Sus scrofa: one gene and its partners. The protein of the gene in region 3 interacts with the protein of the main gene of each other region in a pairwise test. Links are inferred from orthologs where the notes say so. Each region holds a gene or a part of one and is shown on either strand. Other genes may lie near its edges.

Region 1 (5,873 bases), on a different chromosome or scaffold from region 3:
CTGTGCCACAGCCGCAGCAAGACCAGGTTGGAGCCTCAGCTGAGAAACCTACGCCGCAGCTTGCGGCAAGGCCGGATCCTTAACCCGCTTAATTGAGGCCAGGGATCGAACCTGCATCCTCACAGACACTATGTCGCGTTCTTAACCCACTGAGCCACAGTTGGACTCCTGTCCTTACTTCCTGATTCACCATTCAATCGTCCAAACACATTTATGAGCATTTCTGTGTGCAAGGAATGGAGGATACTTCAGTGAAAGAAAAGCTTACAAAATTTACTATGTAGACTAATAAAAAGAAGAGGTTATTTCAGACAGTGATAAATGCTACGAAAAACTTTGAGCAAGGTGAGCAGACTGACTGTTGGGATGGAGGGGGGTTGGGCTATATGCAGACAGGGTGGACGGGGATGACTCTGGGAGCAGGAGGTAAATCTGAACTGAGCCCTCCTGCTAAGAAGGAGCCAGTCATTTGATCATCATTTTTCTGTTGTTCTTAAGAGTTTTATTCATACCTATCATTCAGAGTGGATGATACTGAGACGGTGTGGCACGAATTCGGTAATTATGGTTGCATTAGTGTTGGATACGCCAATGGTAAAGCAACCAGGCTTTTTTTTTTTTTTTTTTTTTGTCTTTTAGGGCTGCACCTGGGGCAGGCATATGGAAGTGCCCAGACTGGGGGTGAAGTTGGAGCTGCAGCCACCAGCCTGCAACGCAGCCACAGCAACACAGGACCTTAGCAGTGTCTGCAGCCAACACCACAGCTCATGACAACGCTGGAGCCTTAACCCACCAAGCAAGGCCAGGGATCTAACCTGCGCCCTCATGGTTATTAGTCAGGTTCCTTACTGCTGAGCCATGATGGGAACTCTGCAACCATGGGTTTTTTTGTTTGTTTGCTATTTTATTTTTGTAATGATTTTTATTTTTTCCATTATAGCTGGTTTACCGTGTTCTGTCAATTTTCTACTGTACAGCAAGGTGACCCAGTTACACATACATGTATACATTCTTTTTTCTCACATTATCAAACACACGAACCATGCTTTTTCAATCCAAAACTCTGAATGCATGGTTTAACATGCAGCGTGCGGGCTGGATATGAAATCAGGACTTAGACTTTATCTAAAATTGCATTTTCCAAGGCATGTGATTATTATAACTGATAGGCTTCAGTGGATTGGCCTGGGCACCTAACCCACGTTGATGTGAGAAGCGTATTTCTAATTTCTTTCTTTCTTTTTGTCTTTTTGCCGTTTCTGGGGCTGCCCCCGAGGCATATGGAGGTTCCCAGGCTAGGGGTCGAATCAGAGCTGTAGCCACCGGCCTACGCCAGAGCCACAGCAAAGCGGGATCCGAGCCGCGTCTGCAACCTACACCACAGCTCACGGCAACGCCAGATCCTTAACCCACTGAGCAAGGCCAGGGATCGAACCCGCAACCTCATGGCTCCTAGTCGGATTCATTAACCCCTGAGCCACCACGGGAACTCCCTATTTCTAATTTCCAAAAAGCGAAGTAACATGTGTACTTTCGGGGAGTTACCGTCGTGGCGCAGGGGTTAACAAATCCGACTAGGAACCATGAGGTTGCAGGTTCGATCCCTGGCCTTGTTCAGTGGGTTAAGGATCCGGTGTTGTCGTGAGCTGGGGTGTAGGCCGCAGACGCGGCTCGGATCCCGCTTTGCTGTGGCTCTGGCGTAGGCTGGCGGCTACAGCTCCGATTAGACCCCTCGTCTGGGAACCTCCCTATGCCGAGGGAGCGGCCCAAGAACTAGCAAAAAGACAAAAAGAAAAAAGTGTACTTTCGGAATAACACCGCTTGCCGTCTGGGACTGTATCTCTTTTCCCCAACTAGAGTACACGTTCTTCCCTCTGGGCACAGTCTGAGTTTATACAGTTTTGAATCCCTCAAAGCCCTACCAGAGTGCTGGGCACGCAGAAGCGCTGGGCACGCGGTAAATTCCGAGCCTGCCCTCGGCTTGGAAGGACCAAGTCCCGTCCCGCTCCGGCCGAGCTCCCAGCGGCTGTTCACCCTCCTGCCGCACGGGGGCGCAAGGGGACTCCCGCACGGTGAGGATCCGCGGCCGGCGCCCGTCTTGGCCCCGGAGGGCCGCATTCCCACAATGCACCTTGTATCAACACAGCGCTGGGGGCGGCTTCGAGGAGGGGCCAGGGGCGCCCAGCGGACCCTCGCGCAGCCCGGGGCGTATCAGGCGGGGCGGGTGTGGAAGGGCGACTGGCAGCCATGGCGGAGTCGGCGCCCGCTCGGGTAAGCGTCCTCCCGGCGCCCGCCCGGGGGCGCGTTCGGGATGGTGGCGCCCCGACCGGGGCGGGGCTTCGAGGTGCGGACCGGGGAGGGGCTGGGCGTCCACGGGCTGCTGCCGGCGAGGCCAACGCCGACCTGCCCCCCACCCCCCGCGGCCCCAGCGCTGGGCTCTACCCCCGTCGGCTCCTTCCACGTCGGGCTAGAGCCTCCGCGCCACGCGCCTTCGCCGAGAAACTTCTCGGAGGCTTGTTTCATGTTCTTGCATTTGCGACCGTCCCGACACGTTTTCGTCGCGCCCTGGCGAGGTGGCGCGGGTTGGAAACCCTGGGTCCCCAGCAGCGCTGGCGAGCTGGCCCGTGCCCGGGCACCCCAGGGCTCAGGCTCTCAGACCAGCTTGTTCTCTGCCTGATGGGTTTCCTCATGCCTTCTGCCGTGCCTCCGGCTACAGATTTCTGTCCTGGGTTGAAGTCAGGCTGGCCTGCCTCTCCTTGGGGACAGGGTTACCTCACGGTGTAGTTGCTGGGTTTTGTTTTGAAGCTGTCGATCTTTCCCCCTCTTCCCCTCCCCCAGACATCACCCTTCCGGGAATGGCAAGACTGCGGGGCGGGCTTGGGCCTGGAGTCGGGAAACTGGATTTCAGCGTCAGTCAGTTCTCCGCTATCTAGTTGAGTAACTTTAGGCAACAGTGTTGGCGCCGGACCTCCACGTTGGGCTAGTTACTAGATGATCTCTAAGGTTCCAACTGCCTCCGACTCTCATTACTCCCGAGTGTTGGTTTCTTTGATGATACTAGAGGATTTGCTATGGAAAGGGCAGATGGAGTTTAATTGTTTTTTGGTTTTTTTGGCTTTTTTTTGGGGGGGGGGGCTTTTTTAGGGCCGCACCCACAGCACATGGAAGTTCCCAAGCGAGCTAGGGGTGTAGGGGTGTGGCCTACACCACAGCTCATGGCAATGCTGGATCCCCAACCCACTGAGGGAGGCCAGGGATGGAACCCGCGTTGTCACAGATGCTAGTCTGGTTTGTTTTTGCTGAGCCACCGGCGGGAACTCCGGCATTTCTTCATCCAGAAATACCTTCGGAATCCTGTGAGATCTTTGTGAGCATTGAGGGCTAAGCGATGCTGGAGTGCCTGCACTTGATTTCTTATAGGAAGTGGGTAAGACCTAAGAGTGGAAGGATTGTAAGACTTAAAGAACAGGTGTTTGCTTTTAAAGAAGTTACAGTTGAATTTTGAAGACAAGACAGATGTCAACAATACCACAGTATTTACCTCATCTGACTCCCTTAACCTAAGGTGATCCAGTCAGGGACTTGCCTTTTCCTCAAGACCAAATGAGTCGTCCTAAAGTTGGGCAGGAGGACACGTTACTAACTTCCAGAGGACTTCTTCCTGACCGGTCAGTGCAGTTACCTACGTGTCTTCAACAGACCTTGTTAAAAGGACATCTTAAAGAGCCTCCAAATCCCCAACTCCACTTTAAGTAATTTATTGATCTGTCATTGCGGAACGTATTTAAATTGCCTGTGAACATATTTCCATCCTTATCTTCAGATGAGGATGCTGTACCTCTTATTTGAAGTATGGCCAAGTAGGTGCCTGGATGAAAACACCTAAAAATACTGAGGTGAAAAAACACCAATGTATTTGAAATGCATCTGGTAAAGAATACTTGGAGCCCAAAGACTAAGTGAAAGAGGGAACTCCTGAGAGGTAAACAGAGTTCTGAAGCCAACTTTGAGGGGATTTGCTGAACATTCATCTGTAGTGTTTATGAACTCAAGAGGTCTGGAAAATAGAAGACAAAACTCGGAGCCTAAGGTGGGAGTCTAAAATGCCTCCTACACCAATCCTATAAAGCCGAGACTCCAAAGGGCAACATTCAGGGTGAACTGGAAGTAAGCTCCTACCCCGGCAATTGCAGAGAAAATCCCCTCAAACCTTGGTGTTGAGAGCTGGGTGCACGGTAGCCCTTGAGAATTCATGATGACTCTCAAGTGGGTTTAGTGCCTGAAGTCATACAACCTGGGTGTCTGGGAAAAAACCTTAAGCCAAGAGTTTAGTTTGTCTCCAGCTATCTTTCAGATATAAATACACATCTTCTCTGCAGGAATCTACAGTTAACTCAGACTTCAAATAACTCCATAGATAAAATTCCAAGACAAACAAGTTCACAATAAAAAATTACCAAGCAATGAGAAACTACAAGAGAAAGCTGGTAAAATTAATGGGAAATAAAAGTAGACCTCCAGAGATTTCAGATACTACTATTCTAGAAGAAAAACATGTTGGAATTCAAGTAGGAACACACACACACACACAGTCTGCACTGGAGACCGTATTTGATGAATACCTAATGTTTGAAGATACTGTAGGACTGATGCAGATGCTAATTCTTAGAAGCCCAGAAGATCCTAATCAGGCTAAACATTAAGAAATCTCTACCTAGAAACATGGTGAAAGTACAGAATACAAGACAACTCTTAAAAACAGCCAAAGGAAAAAGATGACCTTCAGACGAACCTTGTAAGACTAATGGGGTGCAGCTTCCCAACAACAATGGAAACCAGACAGCGGTAGAATGGTATCTTCAAAGGGCTAAAAGAAAATAACCATGTAATCCCAGATTTGTATACTCAGCAAAAGCATCTTTCAGAAACCAACAGTAAAATAAAGATTTTTCAGACAAAACTGACAATTTGTTACCAATGTACTCTCATAAAAGGAAATTCAAGTGGAAAATGCAAATACAAGAAAGTATGATGATTCATTATTAAAATGGGTAAATCTAAACAAATGTTAATTGAACAAAATAATCTCTTACATGGTTAAAGACAAGGGCAGAATTAAAATACATGGCAGCATTGATGTAAAAGTTAGGAAGAGATGGTCAGAATTCAGATAAAGATCTTTGTAAGTATGTCTAGGTAATTACATACTTATGTCTATAATTACATACATATGTCTAGGATGGTTGCTAAAAGACTAGAAACTGACTGTATAACTTACAATTTAAAAAGGGGGAATAATAAAAAATCTAAAAAGGTAAGAAATATGGGATAAGCAGCACAAAGGTAAAAATAAGTAAAAATGATGACAATAAGTGTAAATGGACTAAATGTTCTAGCTAAAAGGCAAAGATGGATAGGATGAGTTAAAGCTCAACAAATGGTTTATAAAAGATACAGCTAAAAGAGGTGGAGTTCCTTCGTGGCTCAGTGGTTAACGAACCCAGCTAGTGACCATGAGGTTGCATGTTTGATCCCTGGCCTGGCTCAGTGGATCCGGAGTTGCTGTGGACTGTGGTGTGGGTCGCAGACACAGCTCAGATCCCATGTGGCTGTGGAGTAGGCCCACAGCTGCAGTTCTGACTCAGTCCCTAGCCTGGGAACCTCATATGCCGTGGGTGCGGCCCTAAAAAGACAAAGGACAAAAAAAAAAAAAAAAATATATATATATATATATATATATATACGTATATATATATACAACTGAAAGACAAAACTATAGAATTAGTTGAATATAAGAGGGTATAAAAATATGTACCAGACTAATATGAAGCAAAAGAAAATTGGCTCAGCTGCATCAATATTGCTAGAGATAC
Region 2 (5,818 bases), on a different chromosome or scaffold from region 3:
CTAGGAACCATGAGGTTGCGGGTTCGGTCCCTGCCCTTGCTCAGTGGGTTAACGATCCGGCGTTGCCGTGAGCTGTGGTGTAGGTTGCAGACGCGGCTCGGATCCCGAGTTGCTGTGGCTCTGGCGTAGGCCAGTGACTACGGCTCCGATTCGACCCCTAGCCTGGGAACCTCCACATGCCGCGGGAGTGGCCCAAGAAATAGCAAAAAGACAAAAAAAAAGAAGAAAAAAAAAATTTTTGCTAAGCAAATTATGTTGAAGAGGATACGCCCCCAAACGCGTTTTTCTGAGTCTTCTCATTAGGACACTATTAACATCTAATAATGGATTTCTACTTCTGCCAAATCCCTTATCTTCAGAGTAAAAGAAAAAGCTTATTTTTTTCCTCCATAGTTGTGGGTGCCTGGATTTATTTTACATGTATGTCACACATTTCTGCATCACTACTATACTATACGGTTTACTCTTAGAATACAAGTACCAAAAAAGCAGGGCTGGGAGCATTTCCTTTATCACTGATAGTATTTCCTACCAAAGCACCTGAAGTGTGTTATTAGTTCTAAAAAGAAATCAAACTACTTTGGTAGAATTCTAATTACAAGTTAATCATACTATGCCTGGAACACCTGAACTTAGTTTTCATATAAGACCTAGGGTGATATGCTGTGTCATGTGTAGTACTGGTTATTTTATCTTGAGTTGATACTCTTGGGCCTTTAGGATTAGATTCAAGTGGCTTTGTTTAACTGCAAAGTACTTATTTTTCTTCTCTGATCAACTTCCACTTCAGTTTGCTATTAATATTCACCTGGGACTTGTTCCCACAGTACTTACTGCTAAAGGAACCCAAACGGTCCATCCCGCAGTTGGCAAGCTGGCTGCTTTGATCTTCCTCAATGTAGGGCTCCCTCAAGGAGATTTTAGAAATGGCCAACACATCCACCAAAGCTTGACGACCCTCCTACGAACAAACAAAAGCAGCACATGGAAGAGGAAATCACTTAAAAGGACAAGAGAAGACAATATAACTTACTCAACTCTACCACATCCTAGCTTTGTATGCTAAGCAAATTATTTTATCTCTATAAGCTTGTTTCCTCCTCTGGAAATGAATATGATACAATCATATCTACTTCCTAGAGTTGTGAGGATTAAAATAATCAATATCCACATAAATAATATACCATGGCACCTGGCCCATGATAAGCCCTCTACAAAGGCTATATATTTCTAATAGGCAACAACTGGTTCTCTCTGTGCAGCATCACTTCTCTCCTCAGCCCTCCTTCCTTAGGGAAGGAAAGTGACTCTCCCACATTTCACACGGCTTTGGGGGAGTAGGTTGTTGCAAATCATAACACTCCGTCCCCCACCCCCATAGCAGCTAAAGCAACTAAAACTCTTCTTACAGAACCTGAATCTTGTAAGATATACAAGGACAGAGGGCAGTTAGAGCTCAGTCATTCACTAGCCAAAGAATCTGGTTCATGAGCTCTGGTTGTTGAGATACTCATTCCCAAAAATGGCACAAATTTTTTTTTTTTTCCATTTCTCTATCTTTTCAAAAATACTTTAATACGAATGAACTTTTATCACTAGAAAACTAAAAAACCATGGAGTTCCCGTCGTGGCGCAGTGGTTAACGAATCCGACTAGGAACCATGAGGCTGCGGGTTCGGTCCCTGCCCTTGCCCAGTGAGTTGTGGTGTAGGTTGCAGATGCGGCTCGGATCCTGAGTTGCTGTGGCTCTGGTGTAGGCCGGTGGCTACAGCTCCGATTCAACCCCTAGCCTGGGAACCTCCATATGCTTCGGGAGCGGCCCAAGAAATAGCAACAACAACAACAAACTAAAAAAACCCTATCTATTATGACAAATTTTGTTCACTAATTTATTCTTTGAACAAATATTTAACAGTTAAGTACCATGTACAAAGTATCTTTATTAAGACATAAATGAACTCATATTTCACACTAAGCCAATATCACCTTCTATACTCCCATAGCTTTTTTTTCCTTTTGCAGCCACACTCTCAGGATATGCAAGTTCCCAGGGCTAGGAATCAAACCCAAGCTGCATCTGAGACCTACGACTCAGCTTCGGAATGTCAGATCCTTAACCCATTGCACCACTGTGGGAACTCCTCCCATAGCTTTTTTTTTTTTTTTTTTTTTTTAATTTAGGGCTGCACCTGAAGCACATGGAGGGTCCCAGGCGAAGGACAGAATCAGAGCTGCAGCTGCCAGCCTATGCCACAGCAACGTGGGATTCCAGCCATGTCTGTGACCTACACCATTACTCAAGGGCAATGCCTAAACCCACTGAATGAGACCAGGGATTGAACCCACAACCTCATAGATACTAGTCGGGTTCTTTACCACTTAGCCCCGATGGGAACTCCTCCCCATAGCTTTTTATCTATCCCTTCTCCGGCATTTTTCACACTGCTCTGTGAAGATTACTTATGGATGCATATTTTTCCCATTTCTAGCCTAAATGAAAACAGGAACTACATCAAATACAAATTTGTATGTCTTAAAGTACCATACACAATGCCACACAGAAAGAACTCAATAAACAAAAATGTAATGGACAAATAAATGCTAATTCTACAAAAAAGTTAATTCATCCTTAGTTTTCCTGCAGTGACTTCTTTCACTGGATAGTTTTGGCTTGGAGAATAATTTATCATTAAGAATATACAACACTGTCAATGAACTTGTCTTTTTTAGGGTAGGTTGGGGTGGTTCTCCCTCTGGTCTAGCCCCAGGAAAATGAGTCTGAAGAAAAGTGAGTTTAGTAAGTGGTATCATGCACTTAATAATAAAATAATGGCCAAAACTTATTGAACTTTTCTCATATACCAGGTACTGTGGTACCACTGTATGTGGATCATCTCTGAATCCTTACAACCTTCAGAGACATGTTGCTTTTTCAAGGAGGGAAAGGAAATGCTAAAAGATTGTGTTACTGGCACAATGTCCTAGACGTAGTGAATAGCAATGTCACTTCAGAGGTCAACTAGAGATAGTCAAGTAAGGAACTTTATATAAAGTCTCGTGAACACTCCACGTTGTAAGTGCAATACTGCAATAAGCAGAATCTTTTTTTTCCCCGTCTTTTTTTCACACAGGAGACATTTCTGACGCTAATACCCACGAAAGGCTGGGTGCTAGCTCCAAATTAACATCTGCTTTGTTCAAAGAAATTACTGGGAGGAGGGAAGGGACGTGAAGATTACTCACTCACTGCAGTTCAGAGGACAGGGGCAGGCTTGGAGTTTTGCAAACAAGATTCGAAGCCTCATTTTGTTCCTTATTAACTGTGATCTTGGGCAAGTCATTTTACTGGAGGCTCAGACAAGCACAGCTCTAAAATGAACCTGAAATATCTATTTGGAAGGCCTACTTGAGAACAACAGGTAACATCAACCATACGCTGTCGTGAGCCGCATTACGCCCTCCAACGCAAAGTCAGGAAAGCGGAGGCCGGAACCCAGCAGGACCGCCCAGGGGGCGGGAGTCGCCAGGCTCGCGGCGGGGCGGGGCACCAGGGCTCGGGCCGGGCACGCGCCGCCCTCCCCCACCGCACGGCGTGGCCCCCGCCTCGCGCCAGTCGGGCCGACTCACCCTCTCGCCCCCGACGCCGCTGGGGTCCGCAGCCCTCCCCCACCCTCGGGGAACCTCGAGGACGCCTTCTCCCCCTCGTCCCGCGAGAGGGGTTCGCGCCGCACCACGCCACCACCCGTGCCGCAGCGCCTCGTGCCTCACCTCGCCGCGTCCCCCTCTTCCGCGCCGAGGAAACGCCAGCCGTGCGCGCGCCCGGGCTTTTGCGTGCTCGCTCCCGAGCGGCGCAGGCGCGAGCGGGCCGCGCGCTCGCCGCCTCCGCCCAGGCGCCGCCCCAGCCGTCGCGGCCCCGCCGCGTGGCGCGCGCTCGCCGCCTCCCCTCTCTCAGCTCCAGCCCCTGACCTCGCCGAGAGCTCGCCGCCCGCCTCCAGCAGAGGCCTGGGAGGATGGGGCTCTGAGCAGTTTGCCAGACTTTTGAGTCGGACCAGTAATCACTTTTCCCTCGGGGCGCGTTGCTCGTCGCCGCAGACTTGCGGATGCGTGCTGCCGTTTGACCCCTCCAGAGTGCGGTGAGCTGGAGCGGGCCGGTACAGCCCCGCTTTTGCGTTTTGTAACATTCCTGCCACCCCTGTTGCAGCCTCAAAGGAAATGGAGGCTGAGGGACTGGGCCCAAGGACGGCGAGTGGTGGTCCCCCCTCGAGGCCGGGTCTTGCAGTGCTACTCATGGATTAACCAGACTGCCTGAATGGTTCAAGGGTACATGGGGTACGTTTGATTCAGATGCTTCTGGAACGTCGAAATTATCTTCTTTGGAAAAACCATCCTCTCTTTGGGCTTTAGGTGCCCAAATTGAGGCGCGATGATGAGAGGATGTGGTGGTCCACTCTGATGTCAGTCTTGAGGGCTAGGTATGTCCCAACATCTCTTGTTACTACTGCTAATTATTATTATTATGATAGCTGCCATTTGTCGAGTATTTATTGCATGCCAGGCATTGTACAAAGGAGTTTACATACATGGTCTCATTTAATCTTCAAAAATAACCTTATGGAAAAGACACTTGTAATATTATCATCCCCATTTTCCAGGTGAAGACCTTTAGACTCTACCTTGTAAATAACTTGGGTTCACACAGCTAGATGGTGTTGGGGAAGGGCATTCAAACAGTGGTTTGTCTTAGCCATTATGCTCATGCATCTATTTAGAAGTCTTTCTTCCATCAATTTGCCCAACCTCTTAGAGAAATCATTTACACCTGCCTGTGTGGCCTTTTTATTCATTTCTTAGTCATACAAGTTCGTTCTAAAAAAAAAAGAATATTTGCATGAACAAAAAATGAAAACCAGCTCCTACCATGTTAAATGGTTACCATTTTGCCTTACATTCTTCTAGATATTTTTCTATACTTCATTCAAAAAATATAAAGTAGTTTTACATTTGATATACCCTGGAAATCTATTTTCATTTATCAAATTTTTAATGAGTAGATACCAGTTCTAGGTGCTGGGAATTCGGTGAACAAAACAAAGTTTCTGCCTCATCGTGGAGGAGGTAGACAATAAGCAATATTTAGACAATAAGCAATACACATAGTATATAATAGATAATGCCCAGTAATGTGGCAATTTTTATGGAAAAAAAATCAGGATAAAGGGATAAGAGTGATGTGGGGACACTCTGTTGGATGCAGTAGACAAGGAAGTCCTCTTAATCATAAGCAGAAATCTAATCATTAAATGGGGGAGGCAGCTGTGTGAATTTCTAGAGGGGGAAATTGTTCCAGGAGAAGAGAAAGGCAATTAAAATAGCCCTGAGATGGGTCTTGCTGGGCATGTTGGAGAAGGATCAAGGAGACCAGTGTGGCTGGAGCAAATTAGAGAAACAAGTTGGGAAACATAGGCAGAAGCCAGATCATGTACCTGGTAAGCTGTGCTGGACTTGGGATGTTATTAGAATGTGATAGTGTACCATGGAAAGGTTGATGACAAAGGAATAATCAGACTTGTTTTAAAAGGATCAACTCTGGCAGTTGTGTGCAGACTAGATGGTGGAAACATTAAAATTGCTCTTTAACATATAAATTGTTCAGGAGTTCCCACCATGGCTCAGCGGTTAACAAACCTGACTAGCATCCATGAGGATGCTGGTTCGATCCCAGGCCTCGCTCGGTGGGTTAAGGATCTGGTGTTGCCGTGAGCTCTGGTGTAAGGTCACAAACATGGCTCGGATCCTGTGTTACTGCGGCTGTGATGTA
Region 3 (5,293 bases):
AAAAAAAGAAGAAAAAGAAAAGAAAAAAGGACATAGTAAAACAGAACAGAAATAAGTAAGTACCTGGTTTCCTACTGTTTCATTAAAAAAAAAAAAAATCAAGGAATTGTAGGGGCTATTAACCAAAGCATCTTCTCAGAGTAGTCTTAGCCTTACATGAAGAAATAATCTCTATTTAAATATAAGTTCCCATCGTGGCTCAGTGGTTAACGAGTCCGACTAGGAAACACGAGGTTGCGCGTTCAATCCCTGACCCTGCTCAGTGGGTTAAGGATCCGCTGTTGCTGTGATCTGTGATGTAGCTTGCAGACGAGGCTCGGATCCTGAGCTGCTGTGGCTCTGGTGTAGGCCGGCAGCTATAGCTCTAGATTCAACCCCTAGCCTGGGAACCTCCCTATGCCACAGCAATGCTAGATCCAAGCTGCGTCTGCAACCTACACCACAGCTCATGGCAATGCTGGATCGTTAACCCACTGAGCAAGGCCAGGGATCAAATCCACAACCTTATGGTTCCTAGTCAGATTCGTTAACCACTTCGCCACGACGGGAACTCCCTGGACCTGAGTCCAGGATTATTACCTGCTTCTATTTAACATAAGACTTGGGGATAATGCTTGGGCGAACTATCCCTGAAGAAAAATAAGTCCATGGAACAAAATAAACTGAAACATTATCTTGGTAGTTGGCATAATCGTAAGCCTAAAATAGTGTAACTATATCAATTTCAAGGTATCAGAAGTAATAAAGTGGAGTTCCCATTGTGGCTCAGAGGAAACAAGTCTAACTAGCATCCATGAGGATGCAAGTTCTATCCCTGGCCTCACTCAGTGGGTTAACGATCCAGCATTGCTGTGAGCTCTGGTGTGGGTCGCAGACATGGCTGGGATCTGTGTTGCTGTGGCATAGGCCAGTGGCTACAGCTGTGATTTGACTCCTAGCCTGGGCACCATCACATGCCATGGGTTCAGCCCTAAAAAGACCAAAATAAAAAAGAAGTAAAAGTAACAGACAATTTGCAGGACATAAGAAAATACACACAAAAATGAACTAATTAGTAATATGCAGCTAGAAAATATATTTAAAAATGAGATTACATTCAAAATGCAGCATTGTCATTCTATGAAATTTCATTACTATTGTTGGGCAGGGGGTGTTGAACAACCAGAGAACTCTCATTACCATCTTAAATTTTTTTTTTTTTTTTTTTGTATTTTTAGGGCCATACCTGCACATACTGTGAGAGTTCCCAGGCTAGAGGTCGAATCAGAGCTGCAGCTGCCAACTACAACACAGCCACAGCTACGCCAGATCCGAGCCGCATCTGCAACCTACACCGCAGCTCACAGCCAACACCAGATCCTTAACCCACTGAGCGAGGCCAGGGATTGCAACCACATCCTCATGGATGATAGCTGGGTTCATTGCTGCTGAGCCACGAAGGAAACTCCTAATATTTAAATTTTATCCCAACAAAATGAAGGGCAAAAACTGAAGAAGCTAATTGGATAATCTGATGACAAGATGCATTATAATCCTGACTGGCAGAACTGTAGGATCCTGACTTGCAAATGAATAAGAAAAGACAAAACAGCAAGGAGTTCCTAAAGCTGACTGCACCCACACACAAAAGCAATGAAAAAGTCCCCAGGATCCAAAGATTAAGTCAGGGATCAGGGAGCTCTTTAGAAGGTCATTTCTATTTAGCTCTGCCCTGGATGATTTCAACAACCTTAGAGTTGGGAGCCAAAGAAGTTAGTTGACCAAGTAGCCAAGTAGTGTGATAAATACATCTGGGAGGGAGAGCCTGAAATTTAATAAAGTGGAGTGGTAAAATCCTTTTCTTCACAGTCTAACTCATTGAAAGTGAAAATATGACAGAGAAGAGAAGAACCAGAAAGGAAACAAGAAGCCTGAGAAGAAGAGGCTAATGGCAGAAAAAGCTACCATGGCCAGGTAAACAGGAAGCCTGACTCGCACTTGAAAATTCCCGGACACGTGCGGCACTTGGCTTTTTCTCTAAGAGGTATTTTGCTGCCATGTTGCTGTGTACCTGTCCTGTCAGCTCAGAAATAAGCTTGCTGGAGTTCCCGTCCATGGCGCAGTGGTTAACGAATCCGACTAGGAACCATGAGGTTGCAGGTTCGGTCCCTGCCCTTGCTCAGTGGGTTAACGATCCGGCGTTGCCGTGAGCTGTGGTGTAGGTTGCAGACGCGGCTCGGATCCCGCGTTGCTGTGGCTCTGGCGTAGGCCGGTGGCTACAGCTCTGATTCAACCCCTAGCCTGGGAACCTCCATATGCCGCGGGAGCGGCCCAAGAAATAGCAACAACAACAAAAAAGACAAAAAAAAAAAAAAAAGAAAAAAAGAAAAAAGAAATAAGCTTGCTGAGACCATTTTAATTTTTTCCTTCATATCTGTAGTTTTTTGTTTCTGCTGGCTTTTCAGCCATACCTATGGTATAACATGAGCCAGGGATTGAATCCCAGCTGCATCTGTGACCTACACCACAGCTGCAACAGCTGTGCCACAGTGGGAACTCCATGTCTGTAGTTCTTAACACAGTAAAGTCAATTCAGAAAAATATACATACTCATTTACTCAAAATCTTGCATACAGGGGAGTTCACAGAACCCACTTAAAAACCATTTTATCCTCAGCACAGAACACTTCCCAAGGGGGAAACAATCAGTACTGCTGGCTAATTCATCCCCTCAAAATGCAGCTTGTACAATTGGAGTAGTTTGTACACATTCACACCCTGCTGCCCTTAGGCCAGGGTATTGGGACAGTAAACTAGAGGGCTGGCTCAGGGAACAATAAAGCTTACTTACAGGAGACAGCATCTTCAATCTGTGTCACGTTAGCAAAGTGGGCAGTGTTTGGGATGCCCAAACACCTCATGCCATGAGCATGACGCCACTCCTGCGTGAAAAGAAGAGAACAATGTAAAACGGGACTGACTGAACACAGAGTACTAATTCCATTGTGCTCATAAACGCCACCTTGACCCTTTCTAAAAGGCTCCACCTAAAGGCAACGTTCCTTTGTGGTTCCTGACTCTAGACTGCTGCTATGACTGATCAGAGGCAGTTACGTCAAAGCGTTGCATAGTTTGCTTCACTGAGCTGGTTTATAAAACCTAGGCCCTAGATCCAGACAAAACCTCTCTTGGAGACTTTAACTTATCAATAACATCCCATGCAACCCCAGCTACCAACATGCCTGAGTAGCCAACACTGATGGCAGGTCAGTGTTATCTCTGGAAATTAAGGAGAAGATTGTTTATCAGGTATAACCAAGTATATGAAAGAGACCAGGGAGACACTGATACAGGGACAGTTTTGGCTCAGGGACTACAAATGGCATGGGCCCAGGAGACCAATTCCAATTCAATGGAGGTAGTGTTCAGAAAGATTCAGAGATTATTCAGGAGCTTGGCAGGAAAGACCCAGGACAAATTAGTAATATGTACGTCTGAGGGAGAGAGAGGTCATAGAAATTCGCTATCCTAGGCTACATTAAGCAAGCCTTTCATTCTGTAAAACTTCCTTCCAAGTATAAGAATTGAAGGCGGAAACTAAACAAGGGTGAATCCACTTACTGGGGTACCACCTAGATAATGCCTTGTCTCAAGAAGAGCTTGATAAATGTCAATCTCTTCGTTTCTTTTTTTAAAGAGGCAAAGGCCCTTTCAGGACCCAAAGGAGATGGTCAGTCCCTTCTTTGGTCCTGAATACTAACAGCGGGACAGAGAAATGACCAAGGATTCAGAGACACAAAAAGAGAGAACTGAAGAGCGAGCAAGTGCAAAAGGAAATGAGGTTCAGATAGCCAAGTGGTAGAACACCTCCAGAACCATCTCAGGTACAACCCAAGGCTAGCCCTGGTCCCGAGGCCAAATGCCACATGCTGGACATTAGAGCCACTCCTTCGCTGATTCTCTTGCACTCTGGACACCAGTGATCCTCTCAGGCTGCTCCTACCCTCTTCTCTAAAAGACTTCTCTAAAGTATGTTTCATACTTTAACATCCAGGAGAAAAGGCTCTGAATTCCTTACAGCAAAGTGCCGCTGGAAGGCTTTGGGACCCCGGTAGGTGTAGTTTCCACAAATCTCACAGTTATAGTTGATATTCAGGCCATGAAGCTTATACAACCAGTAAGGAATGGGCTAAGAGAAATCAGAGAAGAAGGAGTGTTAGGCTGGTGTCTGCATCTGCTTTCAAAACAGGAAACAAGGAATACGGGAGTGTCTGGACTGACTTTGCCATCCCAGCCAAGGGGCAGGTTCTTGGGGTTGTAAATAATCTCATTCTCTTCATCTTCACTTTCACTCTCGCTGATCTGCTCCTCCTCCTCCTCTTCTCGTTCTTCTCCGGTTCTTGCCTGCTTGCGCTGTACATTTTCATGAGTGAGATGTCGCTGTTCCTAAGTCAGATCCATAAATGAAAAGGGAAGTCAGAGAATAGTGCAGAACAAGAAGGAAAATTTACAAGTTCCCTAGTGGCCTAAGGGTTGGGGATTTGGCGTTGTCACTGCTATGGTGTGGGTTCGATCCCAGGCCTGGGAGCGTTCGCATGCCACAGGTGCAGCCAAAAGGAAAAAGAGGGAGGAAATTTATTTTCCTGCAACTCTTGTTGATCTCTCACTTCCAAGGATCAGATCAGGTTTTCTTTTTTGCAGAACAAAGGGAACTTCTTGCCTTCATGTCAGAACTCATTCCCTGACCATAAAGGAAAAAGTCAAAGGTTTTATGGCATTTGCCTAAGTTACTTATTTGAGGCTACAGACAATCACAGAACAATAGAGAACATAGTCTTTTCTATCTCTAAAGTATTTCCTGAATCTGTTCTTCCTTCTCCTTCTCACTGCTATCACTGTCACCAAGATAACTTCTAACTTGCCCGAATCTCTCCTCATTCCTGTCCAGCTTCCATTTGTTCCCATATTCATCTACTTAAAAAAAAAAAAAAAAAATCTAATGGTACACTTTGCTTAAAGAACTTTCATTTAGTTTTTTGCTTTGCTTGAAGGAAAGGGTCTAGGAGTTCCCATTGTGGCTCAGTGGGTTAAGAACCTGACTAGAATCCATGATTGACGGGTTCACTCCTTGGCCTTGCTCAGTGGGTTAGGGATCCAGCATTGCCATGAGCTGTGGTAGTAGGTTACAGACGTGGCTTGGATCTCGTGTTGCTGTGGCTATGGCGTAGGCGGGTAGCTGCAGCTCCGATTCTACCCCTAGCCTGGGAACTTCCATGTGCTGCAGGGGTCTAAATTTCCAACATAACTTTCCAAA
Region 4 (5,929 bases), on a different chromosome or scaffold from region 3:
AACTGATTAAGAAAAACAAAAAGAGTTCTAAATCAGCAGGGAAATTACTTCATATGGGTAAACCAGAGGCAAAGATAAAGGCTGAAGGCAAAATGAGAGAAAGGGAAGGGGAAAAGCAAAGCAAGAGCAGCAAAGGCAGTAACGGGTTTGGTCTGCTAGACTTGAAAATGCCACATGGGATAGTTTTTTGGGTTTTTGTTTTTGTTTTTGTTTTTTGTCCTTTTAGGGCCACACCCACAGCATATGGAGGTTCCCAGGCTAGGGGTCAAACTGAAGCTGTAGTTGCTGGCTTATGCCACAGCCACACAATGCAGGATCTGAGCCACATCAGTGACCTACACCACAGCTCACGGCAACACCAAATCCTTAATGCACTGAGTAAGGCCAGGGATTGAATATGCATCCTCATGGATACTAGTCAGATTTGTTTTCTCTGAGCCACAGTGGGAACTCCCACATGGGGTAGATCTTTGACTAGAATGTATACATTGATTTCAGTGTCTACCAAGTGAAAACTTTATTTCCAAACTTTAATTAGCCTTTTTTAATTTAGCCTTTTTTAATTTAAACCCATCATAACTCCTCAAATTTGTTTTGGGAACTTGAATAAAATACTTTCTTTGATGAAAAAATATCAAAAAGATCAAAAAGATCAACAATATCAAGTTTTGGCAAGGATTTGAAAAAACTGGGACTCTCATGGAGGTTAGAATTAAAATGGTACTACACACAACCTAGCAGTCTCCTTACCAGATATTTACTCTAAAGAAATTGAAACACAAAGATTTGTAAACAGGATGGAGTTCCCATCATGGCTCGGTGGAAACGAATCTGACTAGCATCCGTAAGGATGTGGATTCGATCCCTGGCCTAGCTCAGTGGGTTAAGGATCTGGCATTGCCGGGAGCTGTGGTGTAGCCTGGGAACCTCCATATACCATGGATGTGGCCCTAAAAAGACACACACACACACAAATTTGTAAACAGGAGTTCCCGCTGTAGTGCAACAAGATTGACAGTATTGCTGCAGCACCAGAATGCAGGTTTGATCCCAGCCCAGCACAGTGGGTTGGTTAAAGTATCCAGCGTTGCCTGGGTTGCAACTGTGGCTCAGATCTGATTGGCAGCCAAAAAAGAAAAAAAAAAAAAGATCTGTAAACAAATGTTCAGGGAAGTTTATTCATAATAGCTAGAAACTACTCAAATGTCCATCAGTTGAATGAATAAGCAAATTGTATATATCCATAAAATACAGTTATTGATACATACAGCAACACAGGTGAATCTCAAACGCATTTTGCCAAGTGAAAAAAGCCAGACACAAAGGACTACATAAGGTATGGTACCATTACCATTACCTTATGAGATGTTAGAAAAGACAGCTAAAGTGAAATAAAGTAGATCAATGAGTGTCAGGGCCTGAGGTTAGAAGGAAAGGATTGACTGCAAAGAAGTATGCAGGAACTTTGGGGGATGACAGAAATTTTCTATATCTTGATTTTGGAGGTGTTTAGCTAAGTATATACATTTGTCACACTCATCAAGTTGTACATTTTATTCTGTGTTAATTATACCTTAGTGAAACTGATTTGTTTCAATGTCAGTTACCTGGAAAAATTAGCAGGGAGAGATTTGTGATTTTCATTAAATTAGTAACTACAAACAATTACAATAATGAGTCTATATGACTTCCATAAAAACTTCATTTAGAGCTTTACTTCTGTAATTATATTTATTTAAAACTTTATGTTCTTGAAATGTAATTTGTGTTCTTTTGTCCTGCTGTCTTTTGGTATCTACAAAATGACAAAAACTTAGTATTCTTATTAGGCACAGCTGTTGAAATAATTGGCTATCTTTTGAAGCACTTAAGATTTCTAAACAGGAGTTCCTATCATGGCTCAGCAGAAACGAATCTGACTTGCATCCATGAGGATGCAGGTTCAATCCCTGGCCTTGCTTAGTGGGTTAAGGATCCAGCATTGCCGTGAGCTGTGGTATAGGTTGCAGACGTGACTCGGATCCTGCATTGCTGTGGCTGTGGTGTAGGCCAGCAGCTACAGCTCTGATTCGACCCCTAGCATGGGACCCTCCATGTACCATAGGTGTGGCCCTAAAAATTAAAAAAAAAAAATTCTAAATAATCTCCTAAGATGATATACTCTATGTTGTGGACATCAAGCACAAGAGGAACTGAAAAGACCCTATTACATGCAACAAATATATATAGTAACCTCTTATCCAGGAACTTAGATAACTGTTTTTGAAAAGCAGGTTAAAATATTGATTTTTCACATTTGATAGAATAGTGAAACAAAATCATAGGCTGAGAAGTAATTCTGACATCAGACTCTGTTTACAAAGTCATAAATTACATAAACTGGGAGCTCCAGGAACTAACAGCTACTACCCGCTGATACCTGGAGAAAGAGTGGACTGCATTTCCCTCCACATCATGTATTGGATGGGACCTTTGAATAGGCCTAGGTTCAGCTTTCTGGAGATAAGTTCTCTGGGTGTCAGCACCCTCATTCCTTGGTCCAAGCTGCAGGGGACATAAATTATTTATTCTTAGACATCTTCCAGGGACTGAAGGAAGAGTATTAATAGCACAAGAAAACACTTACCTATCCAAGAGAGGCGTGATGTCCTAGAAAAGGAAAGGAGAAATAGAAAGATCAGATGCCTATTCATCAACTCCACACATTTCTTTAGTGATATTGGCTACCACTAGAATTTAATGGTGCAATACTGGGCAGATGGTCCCCATCCCATTGCCACCAACTCCATTCTTCCTCTGTATGCCTTTTCTTTTTCTTTCTTTCTTTCTTTCTTTTTTTTTTTTTTTTTTTGCTTTTTAGGGCAGCACCCACAGCATATGCAAGTTTCCAGGCTAGGGGTCAAATCAGAGCCACAGCTGCCGGCCTACGACACAGCCACAGCAACTCGGGATCCGAGCTGTGTCTGCAACCTACACCACAGCTCACGGAAATGCTGGATCCTTAACCCACTGAGTGAGGCCAGGGATCGAACCCACATCCTCTTGTAGATCCTAGTCAGGTTTGTTAACTGCTGAGCCACAAAGGGAACTCCCCTCTGTATGCCTTTTCTGGTCCATGCCTTTCACTTATTCCCTGATAAACTGGTTTATTTTGCTCTAATTTCACAGGAAAATTAATAAAATTTAGAAATTTTCTAAATTTCTAAGAGAAATTAATATTAAACTATTTTTTACCTATACTGTCACATAGTCTCAGGAGAAAAATGCAACAGGTATTCTAGCCCGAAGGCCACATTTCTTTACTCTGACTAATTAAGCCTCTGAGTGCTTGAGGTGGTAACCAATGCCACTTTAGAGGTGAAGCGTCAGGGAGCAAAGGCTGGCAAACAACTTTTCAGACAAGTCAATTTATGATTGCTGACAGCCAATAAAAGGTACAGCTTAAGTGGCAACATTCTTACTTTTGAGAAATAAAGCTTCACATTCTTTATAGAGAAATATTAAAACATATTGGTTTTAGTAGCATTTCATTATCTTTTGTAGAAGTGTGAAAGTAAGCTTTCAACTGAGAATGAGACAAAAATAGCCTCCTTGCTTTTCTCCCAGGGAATCTTAAAAGCACATCATTTTTTTAAACCCGCCTGGAGGGGAAAATCACTTCTACTTCCTTTTTAACCCTCCCCCCAACACTGTACCCATAGTCATGTTGGTATGGAATCTCACTTTGAGAAAGTCGAAGGAGTTCTGCTGTTCCATGCGTGCCTGGATGCTCACCAACATCTCCTTGGCTAGGAGACACTGTTCCTGAATGTGGCTTAGATTCAGTTCCATCTCCTCATTCAAGGCTTTCCCCTCTTCTCGGAGCTCATTTAAAATGTCCTTTTCTTTGCTGTGCAGGAACTGATGCAGCTTTAGAAACTCCAGGGAGATGTGTTGCTGCAGATGTAGCTTGTTTTCCTGGAAACCTCCATGATCATCACCATGGTAATTACTGATACTAGCACTTAGGGATGGGGGCCCACACCCCCAATACTCACACAACTTGGGAAATACCGTAACAGGAAATAGCATACAAATGGCTGTCAACATTCCACTATACTAAAAGGAGCCCTTTGGGAGACTTACTCTGTCTTTCCCAGCAAGTTTAATAGTTCAGCACAAAATAGTAAAAAGTCATCTCTAGGTTCCTATTGCAGTACAGAGGTGGTAACCAATGCTGTGTTAAATAAGACTGTGGGGTTAATCGAGCATTTTAGAATGATAATGCCCTCCTATACAGAAGTACAAACCAATATCTACCAAGTGATGCTGTTAGACGGGCCCATAAGGAGGCTGGAAGAACTGTCCTTTTCTAGAAATCAGAACTGGGAGAGATGCCATTCCTGCTGTGAGGACAGTATAGAAGCAAGAGGTGGGCAATGTCTGAAGCACTGAAATTGGTAACTGCTACATAGGAAGCTCTTTTCTTAGGTGACCTCAATATCCTCATGGGCAAGCCATCTGACATCCTGGCTTCTCAGTTCCTCATCCCTATTTCTAGTGATTTTTACCTTCGTCTACTCATTCTCTTAATCACACTGAGGATTTTATCATCCCCAGCAATTATAAACCTCCAAAATTTATTTTTTATGCTTATTTACTCAGGAACTCCTACTGCAACAATTATTGGGTGTCAATGAATACTTCCATCCAGTGACCCTCTTCCCCAGCTTATTCTATGGTCAGTCATTATAATTGCACTCTGTTTTGTTTTGTTTTGTTTTTTTGCTTTTTAGAGATGCACCCGCGGTGTATGGAGGTTCCCAGGCTAGGGGCCAAATCAGAGATGTAGCTGCCAGCCTACACCACAGCTCATGGCAACACCAGATCCTTAAGACATGAGTGAGGCCAGGGATCAAACCTGCAACCTCATGGTTCCTAGTCAGATTTGTTTCTGCTACACCACAATGGGAACTCCTAATTGCACTCTTAAACTCTCACTGTCCTCTAGGTCAGACTTTTCCAGTTTTCTTTTTACCTATTTAACTACTGTTTTTCAGTTTTGTTGGTTCTGTCTCTAACCAAGCCCTAAATATTAGATTACTTGATATTCTGTCCTGGGCTGTTTCCCCTTCTCATTCTACATTCTCTATGTAATAGCCTCTCCTCTCACAACTTTAAATACAATCTATACATGGACTTCTTATTTTCAGTCTAGACCAGCTTCTGACCCCCAGATTCCTATATCCAACTGACTGTTTGATATCACCACTTACCTCTTATATCTAATTAATCACCACGTGCGGGTAATTTTTATCTTGGAAGCATACACTGAAGCTATTTATTTCTTGCTATATCTCTTGTTTTTCTAGTCCAAGCCATCATTGTTCTCTGCAGTAGCACTCTTCTAACCATTATCTTTGTTATTGGCTTTCTCTAGCGCATATTCCACACGGCCACCAGACATGCTTTCAAAATGGAGTGGAACCATGTCCTGTTTAAACCCTTTAATGGCTTCTAATTATTCTCAAGATGAAGTTCAAAATTCCTAACATGATCTACACATGATATATTATCTACATGATTAGTCCCATATCTGCCTGATCTTCAGTCTCATCTTGCTTACCATGACCCAGCTTACTTGGCCTTCTCTCTGTTTAACATAGCAGCTAACTTCCTGTCTCAGGACTTTTCCATATGCTCTTTCCTCTTCATAGAACTTTCTGGCCAAAACCTTCATATTCCCCTCACCCTGTTCACTAGACTAAGGAAAATATTTATCCTTTTAATTCTCAATTTTTAATAAGTAGCTTCTTCAGAGAACACTCAGTATAGGTTAGGTTCTCCATTTATATGCTCTCATACTATATTTTCATTTGTAGTAGTTATCACAGTTGTTATTTTATTGTTATTGTAGGATTAATTAACATCTATCTCCCACCATAGTAGG

What was found.
Region 1: the proteins of SF3A3 (region 3) and ZNF212 interact in binary tests that used the Homo sapiens proteins (3 or more experiments, as listed by UniProt). The two-hybrid records come from large-scale screens. The link is inferred for Sus scrofa from reciprocal best matches to the Homo sapiens genes SF3A3 and ZNF212.
Region 2: the proteins of SF3A3 (region 3) and TADA2A interact in binary tests that used the Homo sapiens proteins (3 or more experiments, as listed by UniProt). The two-hybrid records come from large-scale screens. The link is inferred for Sus scrofa from reciprocal best matches to the Homo sapiens genes SF3A3 and TADA2A.
Region 4: the proteins of SF3A3 (region 3) and TRIM69 interact in binary tests that used the Homo sapiens proteins (3 or more experiments, as listed by UniProt). The two-hybrid records come from large-scale screens. The link is inferred for Sus scrofa from reciprocal best matches to the Homo sapiens genes SF3A3 and TRIM69.

The regions. Positions count from the first base shown.
Region 1 is NC_010460.4:55,526,032-55,531,904, forward strand, and holds the start of ZNF212 (zinc finger protein 212), read left to right. Parts: upstream 1-2,130; 5' UTR 2,131-2,247; coding exon 2,248-2,271; intron 2,272-5,873.
Region 2 is NC_010454.4:38,873,206-38,879,023, reverse strand, and holds the start of TADA2A (transcriptional adapter 2-alpha), read right to left. Parts: upstream 3,869-5,818; 5' UTR 3,769-3,868; intron 3,768-3,768; exon of another isoform or gene 3,628-3,767; intron 3,444-3,627; exon of another isoform or gene 3,244-3,443; intron 962-3,243; 5' UTR 860-961; coding exon 835-859; intron 1-834. Other genes in the region: ACACA (acetyl-CoA carboxylase 1), read left to right, coding at 4,453-4,472. UniProt on the Homo sapiens protein: Component of the ATAC complex, a complex with histone acetyltransferase activity on histones H3 and H4. Required for the function of some acidic activation domains, which activate transcription from a distant site. Binds double-stranded DNA.
Region 3 is NC_010448.4:93,954,721-93,960,013, forward strand, and holds part of SF3A3 (splicing factor 3A subunit 3), read right to left. Parts: intron 4,426-5,293; coding exon 4,261-4,425; intron 4,169-4,260; coding exon 4,058-4,168; intron 2,922-4,057; coding exon 2,831-2,921; intron 1-2,830. UniProt on the Homo sapiens protein: Component of the 17S U2 SnRNP complex of the spliceosome, a large ribonucleoprotein complex that removes introns from transcribed pre-mRNAs.
Region 4 is NC_010443.5:126,784,538-126,790,466, forward strand, and holds the start of TRIM69 (E3 ubiquitin-protein ligase TRIM69), read right to left. Parts: upstream 4,092-5,929; 5' UTR 4,090-4,091; coding exon 3,724-4,089; intron 2,650-3,723; coding exon 2,627-2,649; intron 2,545-2,626; coding exon 2,420-2,544; intron 203-2,419; exon of another isoform or gene 1-202.